Linked DNA regions of Neurospora crassa OR74A. The protein of the gene in region 2 interacts with the protein of the main gene of each other region in a pairwise test. Links are inferred from orthologs where the notes say so. Each region holds a gene or a part of one and is shown on either strand. Other genes may lie near its edges. The genes, in order: NCU04316, chs-4 and NCU05720.

Region 1 (3,755 bases), on a different chromosome or scaffold from region 2:
TGCATGGCGCGTTGAGGTTAGATGCCTCTGTATATAGTACCGTTGGTCCTGTGCACAAATGTGTGATGTTTTCTGTATCATAAAATACCCAAGCCAAAACCCGTACCAGCTTGCCTGCCAAGGATATCAGAAACGCCGATAGTCTATAAGAATAACCAAGTCAACATTTCACCCAAGAGCTACCACTTAACTAATCACGATCTCCCCCCAGGCTGCCTACTAGAACTACCCTTCCCCGGTTTTTGCTCCTCTTCATCATCACTAGCACCACCAATGCTATACCTACTATCCGCATGCGGGTCCTCCGGCTTGCTCAAGTGCAAATCATCCAACTCGCTCTCGTCAAAATCCTGCGCTTCAACATCCCTCCTCCCGCTTCTCTTGTTCCTAAAACCTGCCAATCCTTGACCTCTCGTCCTATCTCCACCACCACTAAGGTTCCCACGAGGTCCCGGGTTGTTAGAAATGCTATGTCTCTCGCCCGTAGCAACACCCATATACCCCTGCCCAGCAGTCTTTCTCCTTTCTTTCCAGACAAACCATCCCCACACGCCCGCAGCAACAATGACAATCACCAGAACCAGCTCGCCTGACTTGCGGTAGGCTTCCCACTTGGCCATCTCCAACTTGGCCTTCTCGGCCGCTTGGTTGCTCGTGCTATTCCCTGCTGCGCCGCCGACCGTCGTTTCGGGTAACTTCTCCCCGTCGAGCCTCGAGTCCGTAGGCTGTCCGCCAATGCTACTGATATCCACGCCCATGAACCGATCCAGCATGTCGCGCGTGCGGCGGGGGTAATCGAAGGGGACCATGTGGCTGGAGTTGTAAAAGAGCACGTAGGTGAGGTTGCGCGCTTGTTGCCAGAAGCCGGCCGGTTCGCCTTCGAAGGTCCAGTCGCGCCGCGGCGCCCAGGTTCCCGGGGTGAGTTCGAAGCCCTTGCCGCCGTTCCATTCCATGTTGGAGATCAAGGCTTCGGTGCCCAGGTGGTTGCAGATGAGGTCTTCGGCGCCGGAGAAGAGCAGGATGGGAACGCCGGCGGAGAGGATGTCGGGAAGCAAGGTGATGGACGGCTTGGTCTTGGGGTTAAAGTTCATGCCTACCTGGCCGTTGCATTCAGTCCAGCCGGTAGACTTGTTATCGTTGATGTTGAGGGCCTTGATGACTTCCTTCTTGCGGAGGTAGGGGGTTACGCTCTTGAGGTCGGGGGGCCAGGCCATGCCGCATGAGGGGTAGTCGTCCTTCAGGCGGACGTCGTACATGTTGTAGCATTGGTTCTTGCCGCTGGCGCCGACGCCGCCAGCAGTCAGTTGGAGCATGTCTTGCAAAATAGCTTCGCATTCGGGGTAGTCGATCTTGTCGGGCTTGACGGCGATTTCCTTTTGGCAGATACGCTGTTGGATTTCGAGCTTGTTGGCGAGGTCGGTACCCTTCTTGACGATGTCCTTCTCGTAGGCAAACTGGAGGTAGGCGTCGTATTGCTCTTTGGGGGAAACCCAGCCGTTGCCGATGAGGAGGCCCGAGAGGTTCCATTTGCGATTGACGGGACCAGCGTTCTTGTTACGTTCGAGAATAGCTTGGGCGATGTAGGGAATGTGCTGACCGGCGTAAGACTCTCCGGCAATGTAAAGCTGAGAAATCGGTTAGACAGAACGAATCGAAGAGGTTCAGAGTGTGGCACCTACATCGTCATGCTCGTACTCTGGGAACAGAGCGAACCACCTCTCCAAAAAGGTAACAAAGTTGGCGGCCATCTCGGTCAACTCGTGGATATAGGCGTTGGTGTCGACATAACTGAAGCCAGTGCCGACGGGGTTGTCGACGAACAAGACGTTGGCGAACTCGTTCCATGCGCCATCGTTGTATACCAAGGTGTTTTCGTCCTTCAGTCTGTAGGGACCAATCTCCATCAATGCGCCATCCTCGGAACTGCAACCAGGACCACCATTTAGCCAGATGACGGTTCGTTGTTTGTTGGCGATATGTTTGTTCTGGAAGTGCCAGAAGAACAGGTTGCCGTTGTTATCAGGGGTGACCTCGATATGTCTAGTTGTGAGAACATGTCAGCCTTGGTGTTCCCCAACATATTGGATTCGCGCAGCAACAGTGAACTTACCCGGCATGCATCTTCACCAGAGGACCATCTGGTGCGCCTGGCAGATCATGGACAAAGTAGTCGGCGGAGCCAGCAGCGGCGACGAAGCTGGATGTCCATGACAGCGTGAATGCCGCGATTAGAGTCGACAGTCGTTTCCAGCTAGCCATAGACCGGCCAGCATTGGTGGTAGTGGTGGTGGCGGCCATGATCACCAACTGGACTCAAGTCGCTGGGTTCAGTTGTGGTGGGTGGGATGGAGGAGGAGACAATTGTCGTAAGTTTGGCTACCTATCACCACCAACCACATTCATGGGGGAGGATAGAAGAAGGCCGACGACAACGGCAAAAGTTGTAGGAACTCTGAAAAGGTCGAGATGTTGCTCCGAGACAGCATCCATGGATGAAACGGTAAAGAGGGAATCTGTCCTTGGGGCGGACGGACAATAGTGTACAACGTGGGATGAATGCCACTGCGGCACGGATAGTGGCGTTCCATTTCAGCTAGACCTCACAGGGGGCAATCTCATTACAAGTAAGGGACCCTGTTAGTGGTATTGGGCGATCCCGGTATGCTAGCTTAACACATAGCTGGGGGGCCTGGTCTTCTCTTCCATGCAGTCACTCAGTCCATGCGCCTCGTGGATGGACGCGCAAGCCAGTTCCATTCTCCTTCCTTCGATTATCCAACCTAAGCAATGTCGATATCGAAAGATAATACTCTTAATGTCCTTGTCTGCTATATTCTAATGCCTCAAGAACTTATTGTATAGTTATGGAATCGGGGACAGAGTTCTAATTACACACCAACTTACTCGCTATGAGAGCTTCCAAGGTTGTTTCCAGATCTTCAGGCACCGCATCTGGACGTGAATAAACGGAGCCTTATTCAGCCACTAACATGACTTGACAGAGTGTAAACCTCTTCGACAACTTTACTCCCTGATGGTTGACAAAGAGCAGCCCTAGAGGAAAACATCAGACGAAAGTTTCTAAATCCGGATATCGGCAAGAACTGAACAGCTGCTCATAAAATCGGCCCAGACCTGAACAACCGAGCGATTGTCCGCGAGCACGACTCATCTCGGCAGTCAAGCGTGAGCTCCTCGTATATACGATTACAAGTTCATCCACACTCTCCCCAGGTGTATGAGACAACAATTAGACATAACAATCAGACATGTACATGATCCCTCAGTTCGGACAGCCCCTACCGCCGGGATCTCTGCCGGAATGATGATATAAGACATTGCGGGGCCGGCTTCCGAGAACGGGCAAGGCAACCCGGGCCCGGATCGCCGAACTGAATCACCGTTACGGCATGCCGTCCATCTTGGCACGGAGAACCCCACCAAGCCATCAGAAAGCTCCACCAAGAAAATGTTAGTCTTGGCCTTGTGAGATCGTCCAAACACTTACACACAAACTTAACCCTCACTTTGACCTTTTTGATATCCTTGAATATCTTGGTCCCAGCACAACTTTTGAGCCGGTTTTTGAATTCCTACTCCAGCTACCGTAGTAATGGCCGCCACCAAGAAGACCTACATCGTCGAGCACCTCGATGAGGAGCTGGGCCCCTGGTCCGAGCTCGAGTACCTCGCTATCGCCAAGGAATCGCAAGAGATCGGTTCCGAGTTCCATCTGACTTCCCTGCCCCAGGGCT
Region 2 (2,522 bases):
ACTCCGAGGGTGAGATGGGCGTTCGTACCACTCTGGACTCGATTGCAATGACGGACTACCCCAACAGCCACAAGGTTATCCTCGTTATTTGCGATGGTATTATCAAGGGCCACGGAGAGGAACACTCAACCCCCGATATCATTCTCGGCATGATGAAAGACCACACGATTCACCCCGATGACGTTGAGCCATTCTCTTATGTTGCGGTTGCAACTGGTTCTAAGCGCCACAACATGGCCAAGGTCTACACCGGCTTCTACGATTATGGCACTAACTCTGCCATTCCTCTGGAGAAGCAGCAGCGTGTTCCTATGATGATGGTTGTGAAGTGCGGCACTCCTGCTGAAGCCTCCAAGTCGAAGCCTGGAAACCGTGGCAAGCGTGACAGTCAGATCATCCTTATGTCTTTTCTCCAGAAGGTTATGTTCGACGAGCGTATGACGGAGCTAGAATACGAGATGTTCAATGGCTTGTGGAAGATCACGGGCATTTCTCCTGACTTCTATGAGATCGTGCTCATGGTTGACGCTGATACCAAGGTCTTCCCCGACAGTCTCACGCATATGATCTCGGCCATGGTCAAGGATCCTGAAATTATGGGTCTTTGTGGCGAGACCAAGATCGCCAACAAGCGAGCAAGCTGGGTTTCCGCCATCCAGGTATTCGAGTATTTCGTCTCTCATCATCTTGCCAAGGCTTTCGAGTCCGTCTTTGGCGGTGTCACCTGTCTTCCCGGATGTTTCTGCATGTACCGCATCAAGGCACCCAAGGGTGCCCAGAACTACTGGGTCCCTATCTTGGCCAACCCGGACGTTGTCGAACACTACTCCGAGAACGTTGTCGATACGCTGCACAAGAAGAACCTCTTGCTCCTTGGTGAGGATCGTTATCTCAGTACGCTCATGTTGCGCACGTTCCCCAAGCGTAAACAAGTATTTGTGCCTCAGGCCGTTTGCAAGACGACTGTCCCCGATGAATTCATGGTGTTGCTTTCGCAGCGCCGCAGATGGATCAACTCGACCATTCACAATCTGATGGAGCTCGTTCTTGTGCGCGATCTTTGCGGTACCTTCTGTTTCAGTATGCAGTTCATTGTCGGTATCGAGCTGATTGGTACCCTTGTGTTGCCTGCCGCCATTGCCTTTACTTTCTATGTTGGTGAGTAGCCACCAACCCCAGTTTTCTCTTCCTTTCTTGTTTGACCAACTGAAAACTAATGTCCGATACCTAGTCATCATCTCAATCATCAACTCCCCGCCACAAATCATTCCTCTTGTTCTCCTTGGTCTCATCCTCGGTCTCCCAGCCATCCTCGTCGTCGTCACAGCTCACAGCTGGTCCTACATCATCTGGATGTTTATCTACTTGCTCTCCCTGCCCGTGTGGAACTTTGTTCTGCCTACCTACGCTTTCTGGAAGTTTGACGATTTCTCATGGGGCGACACGCGCAAGACGGCCGGCGAGAAATCAAGCAAGGGTGGCCACGGAGAAGCCGAGGGAGAGTTTGATAGCAGCATGATTACCATGAAGCGCTGGGCCGAGTTTGAGCGCGACAGGCGCGTCCGCAGCACGTACTGGGCCGGCTCGAGGGACAATGTCATATCCGGGGTAGGGGGTAGTAATGGGTGGGGAAGCAGCCAGCCGAGAGGCCATGAGCAGGGGAGACACTTTGATGACTACTTTTCGGACGCTTAGGTTTTGATATGGTGTTGCTGTGTAGGGATGCCTTTGTTTTTTTTAAAGTATTACTGTTGTAGGGTAGGTAGGGTCTTTGTTCGGAGGTCAGGTGTTTGTTGGAAAAGAAGGGATCCGATTATCGAACCTGCCGGCCTCGGTTTCTTTTCATCACGTTCATCATGGACAAGGGCGATATTAATGTGGAAGTTTTGGTTGATCGGTTGGCGGGTGGGTTTTCTGTCGATAGGATTAACTCTTAGACATTATTATGTGGAAAAGATTTATTTTTCTTGGCATACATTCGTGATGGGATACCACTTCTTCCGTTCATCTATCCAGTCACAAGAACCGCTCATGAACTTCGCCATACTGCATCAGTAAGGAAGTAAGCACGAGCACATGAGAGCGCCACAATAGGCTGACTACCATGTATGTTTTCCCATATTGAATGTAGCTATCCGAAGGCAGACAGGGGGCAGCTATGTCTACTATCTAGACAGTATCTCTGTTCTGGTAAATTTGAATCGATGTTTGGGAGCACAGAGCAGTTTAGGCCAGGCGAACAATGGGCTAATCTTCCCTCCGACCCTCCTTTTAATAACGCTTTAGAAGTGGTTGCTTGTAAAAGAGGGGGTCACATCATGAAGTGAGGGAGGGTGTAGTGTAGACAGTTTTTGTCAGATATCTAGAACAGAGTATTGGAATGACCTGATCGACCGACTGACTGACTGACGACGCCATTTCTTGCGTAACCTCCGGCGAGAAAACCCAGGTAATAATGTTGGCGCGCCGGAGGGAGGGGGGAGGCGACAATGGTACAAAAGGCAAGGAGAACGGAGATGGAG
Region 3 (3,755 bases), on a different chromosome or scaffold from region 2:
TTCGCTTGCTGCTTTCCCACCAGAAAAACCCCCGTACCGAAAATCATCAAAGATAGCTGCGTTATGCATTTTTGCGCCCGCCCAACCAAAACAAGCAAGCAACATGACAAGAGTGCCGTGAGCACATGGTATCAATCAACCGTCTGAAGACACATCCACAATCCATCCCTTTCCCTGTCCATAACATCCATCTCCTTCTCTACACTTTTTTTTCTTTTTTGTTTTTTTCCCTCAACATGTCCCAGGCCGTCTTAGGCGTTCTAATACCTCAAGGACTGCCTGTTGGGACTAGGCGTATACCCATGACTCTCCCGTCTGTGATGTCCTCCCTCATAACCGCTGGCGCTCGCACCACTTCCCGTTCCGGGCCCGGAAGCATAATGGCCTTCGTAAATCGGATCCGCATAGACCGTCGCCCTCCTGTCCTCCTCCGGACCCTGTGGCAGCAACTCCTTGACCTCCCAGTTGTTCATCCTCGTGCCCACCGAAAACTCCAAGTCCTCCTTGGTGATCGAGTCCCAGTACTTGTACACCATCATCACGGCCAGCAAGTTGCACGTCGTGGCGAAGAAGAGACCGTCCAGGTAGTGCGAGATGCCCTCGCAGATGGGCGAGCTGAACGCGTAAAGGATGACTTGGCCGGCAATGAAGAAGAAGAGGCCGAAGGCAATGTCACCCAGAGGCCAACGGTCCTGGAGAGTGCGGGTAACGAGGATGATCTGCATCACTACGTAGAGTAGGAGCTGGAGGGCGTTGAGAAAGTAGAGCACGACAAATATGCCGACGGTGTTGGTGGGACCCAAGCCGGCCCAGGATTTGAACGTGGCGAGACCGACGAGGAAGGAGATGACGAAAGCGACGAAGGAGCAGAGGCGGAGCATCCATAACGAGAGAGGAGTGCCGTCCTCATAGAGCTGGAAGCCGACGAAGCCGTTAATCACTAGGCAGGTGACCAGGGCGGAGGCGAGACCAGCTTGCACGGCGACGAAGTAGGGGTAAGAGCCCGAGTGCGGGGGGATGACGCCGGCATCGATACAGAGGGAGAGGAAGGTGAGGATCATGTAAAGGTAGAAGAAGGTGGTGATTTCTTTGCGGCCTGTTGGACACATTTATTCTCGTTAACACGCATTCCCTCCATGCCAAATCGAGAAATTGAAGAAGACGTACCGACAGCAGTGAACTTCCCCCTCACATGCAACAACATGACCACCGTCATGACTAGAGCAACAATGTGCATCACGCTTGCCGCGCCCTGGAAGATGATGGTGTTGGCCACCTCAATGTTGCGCGCATAGCAGTCCGGCTCAATGCCGACGCCGGTGGCAATCGATGTTATCGGGCCAACTGACGCGCATAGAGGAATAGGCGCCATGCGACATATGCTGCTGAAATCTCCGAATTTGCCCATGGTTGGCGATATATGAGGCCGTCGAGGGCCGGGTCAAGCTAAGCGTCGTTCGGCGAGGGCTTCGTGGGTGTCGTCGGGTCCGGGGGATAAAAAAAAAGGAAAAAGCGACGCAACGGGGCGGGGCCGAGAGAGAGGACAGGGGGATTTGTCGGCTCGGTGTCAATTCACGGCCTCGGCAGGTTCGACAACTCGAACTGTCGTCGCGGGAGGGAAAAAAAATAATAATAATCAAGGTGCGTGAGATTAGGGAGAAGATTGTGTCTCTTTTTGTATTCTTGTCTCGGTTTGTTCAAGTGAGACGGGCGCCTAGTGGAGTCTGTGCTACTGTAAAATAGTCCCGAGTCTGGAATGGGCGGGAAAGAGACGAGAGGTTGCCGTTGAGCGAAGGTCGGACAAGCGCGCTGTGTAATTCGGATACGCGATAGAATACCTATTGATTGGCGAAAACGAAAGTGTTGATGAAGATGTTTCAACGAATGTGTTTCGGTGGTTGATTTGACTTGACGACGACGACAACAACAACGAGAGAAGTTGGACGACCAGCCACCCGAGAAATGCGTAACGAAAACAGGCTTCCCCGCCGTGTCCCCCGTGTTGTTTGGTTGCGTTGCGACTGTAAGAAACGGGAAAGCTGAAAGATGAACTGAGGGCCAGTGCAGTGTGGACGCTGTGTGGGACTGACTGACTGCCTTGGGAAGCGCAGCTGGGGGAGGAGGGGGGGGCGCTGGCTGTCCCAAGATGGATGGGCGACCCACGGGCAGAAAAGGGAGAATCGGGGCACAGTCAGGGAATAATGACCAGGTGCCGCCCCATCTGGCTGCCCGTCATTTGGATGCCAAGAGAGCCAGGATATCCAGCTGGCAAATCGGCAACTATCACTTGACCCAGTGGAGTGAAGTAGCAGTATGGGCGCCCCGCCAAGCATCCGCTTCTCCGTCCATTTGGCTTGTGATCTTCAAGATCTTCAATATAAAACTCCCTTTTCCAACCTCCACGCCATTCCACGATCTTCACCTTGACGTCTTGTGAATATTCACTGCCTCACTCACTCTTGGAACTGGCGACGAACTGATCACCATTTAAGATACATCAAGAGTACTCTTTCTACACTCTCCTTTTCTTTTACCAAGTAGGTAATTACGGCCAACCAACCAACAACTTACAACCATGATACCCTGTGCTCTGCTCCTCCTCCCTCAGTCAGCTCTCGCCATACAAATGTCAACCACATATCTCGTCCATCCTGCACAGCCCAGTACACCACTTTCTTTGCAAAGCCCACACAGTTTAGTAACATTTTATGAAGAACAGACAAAGAAGAACATTATCGTGTCCATGCTATCAAGTTGATTTCCCTTTGCTCTTGTACACTTCACCATCCCTTCCCAAACGCCATTCGTAAATGGATATATCAAACCACCGTAGCCGCCTCATGCCCTGGTCTTTAATGCGTTATCATGCCATCGTTGACATTGCCACCATTCCCTTCCGTCCTCATTCTTGGTCTCTATGCGTGTTTCCAGACAGACAATGCTTCAGTGGGTTAAGTAAACACCGTCTATCAATGACCCAGCCCAGCCAATGCAAAATGCTCAACCGTCTTGTTATACACCAACTTCTGTGCCCGTACACACACATCGAGTCATTAAAAGTCATCATCATAGTCATCTCCTCCTACTATTCAGAGAGCCCATGTCGAGTCGCATCACAGGGCGATCAATCTCCAAGCTCCGACTCGGAATGAGCCTGCCGCCTGGTGTCCTTGGGTTGGCAACATTGACTCGGCCACGACGATGCGGCCTTACCGGTCCCTCTTCTTCGTCCGCGCTTCCTGACGAGTCATCCTCGTAGTCTTTGTTGGCTGGCAAATCAGAGCCAGTTACCACTTCATTGGAGTCAAAGAAGCCTTCGTTTCCGCTGGTCGGCCTAGGGATGCCTCTCACTGTGGCAACACTCTCCTGGCTGCCGCTTCGGTCACCCATCTGTGGTCGCCCGGTGTCCTCATAGTCTGCAAGCCTGGCAAAATAGTCTGCCAGGCCGTCAACACTAGGCGTACCAATGATGGCGTCGTATTGGGGCGGCGGCGTCATCAAATCGGCTTGAAGCGGCGGCGGGGGCTCGTCAGCATCAAATGCCGGTGGGTTGTATGATGGGCAGCGGATAAGGTGCATGGGCCGTTGCCGTTCGAGAGGGCTCGGTAGCGTGTGGCCCCGGGCTCGGTTCACAGGCAAGCCACCAGACTCCCGTGAATCATGGACATGAGCGGCTTGAGGGATTGAAGGTAAGACCGATGCGCTGAGCCTGTTGAGGCCCAGTCGACTGCCACTAGGGCTCAGGACATCTTGCT

Evidence for each region.
Region 1: the proteins of chs-4 (region 2) and NCU04316 interact in binary tests that used the Saccharomyces cerevisiae proteins (3 or more experiments, as listed by UniProt). The link is inferred for Neurospora crassa OR74A from reciprocal best matches to the Saccharomyces cerevisiae genes CHS3 and KEX1.
Region 3: the proteins of chs-4 (region 2) and NCU05720 interact in binary tests that used the Saccharomyces cerevisiae proteins (3 or more experiments, as listed by UniProt). The link is inferred for Neurospora crassa OR74A from reciprocal best matches to the Saccharomyces cerevisiae genes CHS3 and CHS7.

What each region holds. Positions count from the first base shown.
Region 1 is NC_026505.1:5,592,762-5,596,516, forward strand, and holds the start of NCU04316 (pheromone processing carboxypeptidase Kex1), read right to left. Parts: upstream 2,536-3,755; 5' UTR 2,299-2,535; coding exon 2,111-2,298; intron 2,041-2,110; coding exon 1,680-2,040; intron 1,626-1,679; coding exon 195-1,625; 3' UTR 1-194. Other genes in the region: NCU04317 (DUF431 domain-containing protein), read left to right, coding at 3,614-3,755.
Region 2 is NC_026501.1:4,236,508-4,239,029, reverse strand, and holds the end of chs-4 (chitin synthase 4), read left to right. Parts: coding exon 1-1,158; intron 1,159-1,231; coding exon 1,232-1,695; 3' UTR 1,696-1,973; downstream 1,974-2,522. UniProt on the Saccharomyces cerevisiae protein: Polymerizes chitin, a structural polymer of the cell wall and septum, by transferring the sugar moiety of UDP-GlcNAc to the non-reducing end of the growing chitin polymer.
Region 3 is NC_026503.1:625,431-629,185, forward strand, and holds the start of NCU05720 (chitin synthase export chaperone), read right to left. Parts: upstream 2,121-3,755; 5' UTR 1,409-2,120; coding exon 1,168-1,408; intron 1,097-1,167; coding exon 261-1,096; 3' UTR 1-260. Other genes in the region: NCU05721 (arrestin domain-containing protein), read right to left, coding at 3,073-3,755. UniProt on the Saccharomyces cerevisiae protein: Chaperone required for the export of the chitin synthase CHS3 from the endoplasmic reticulum.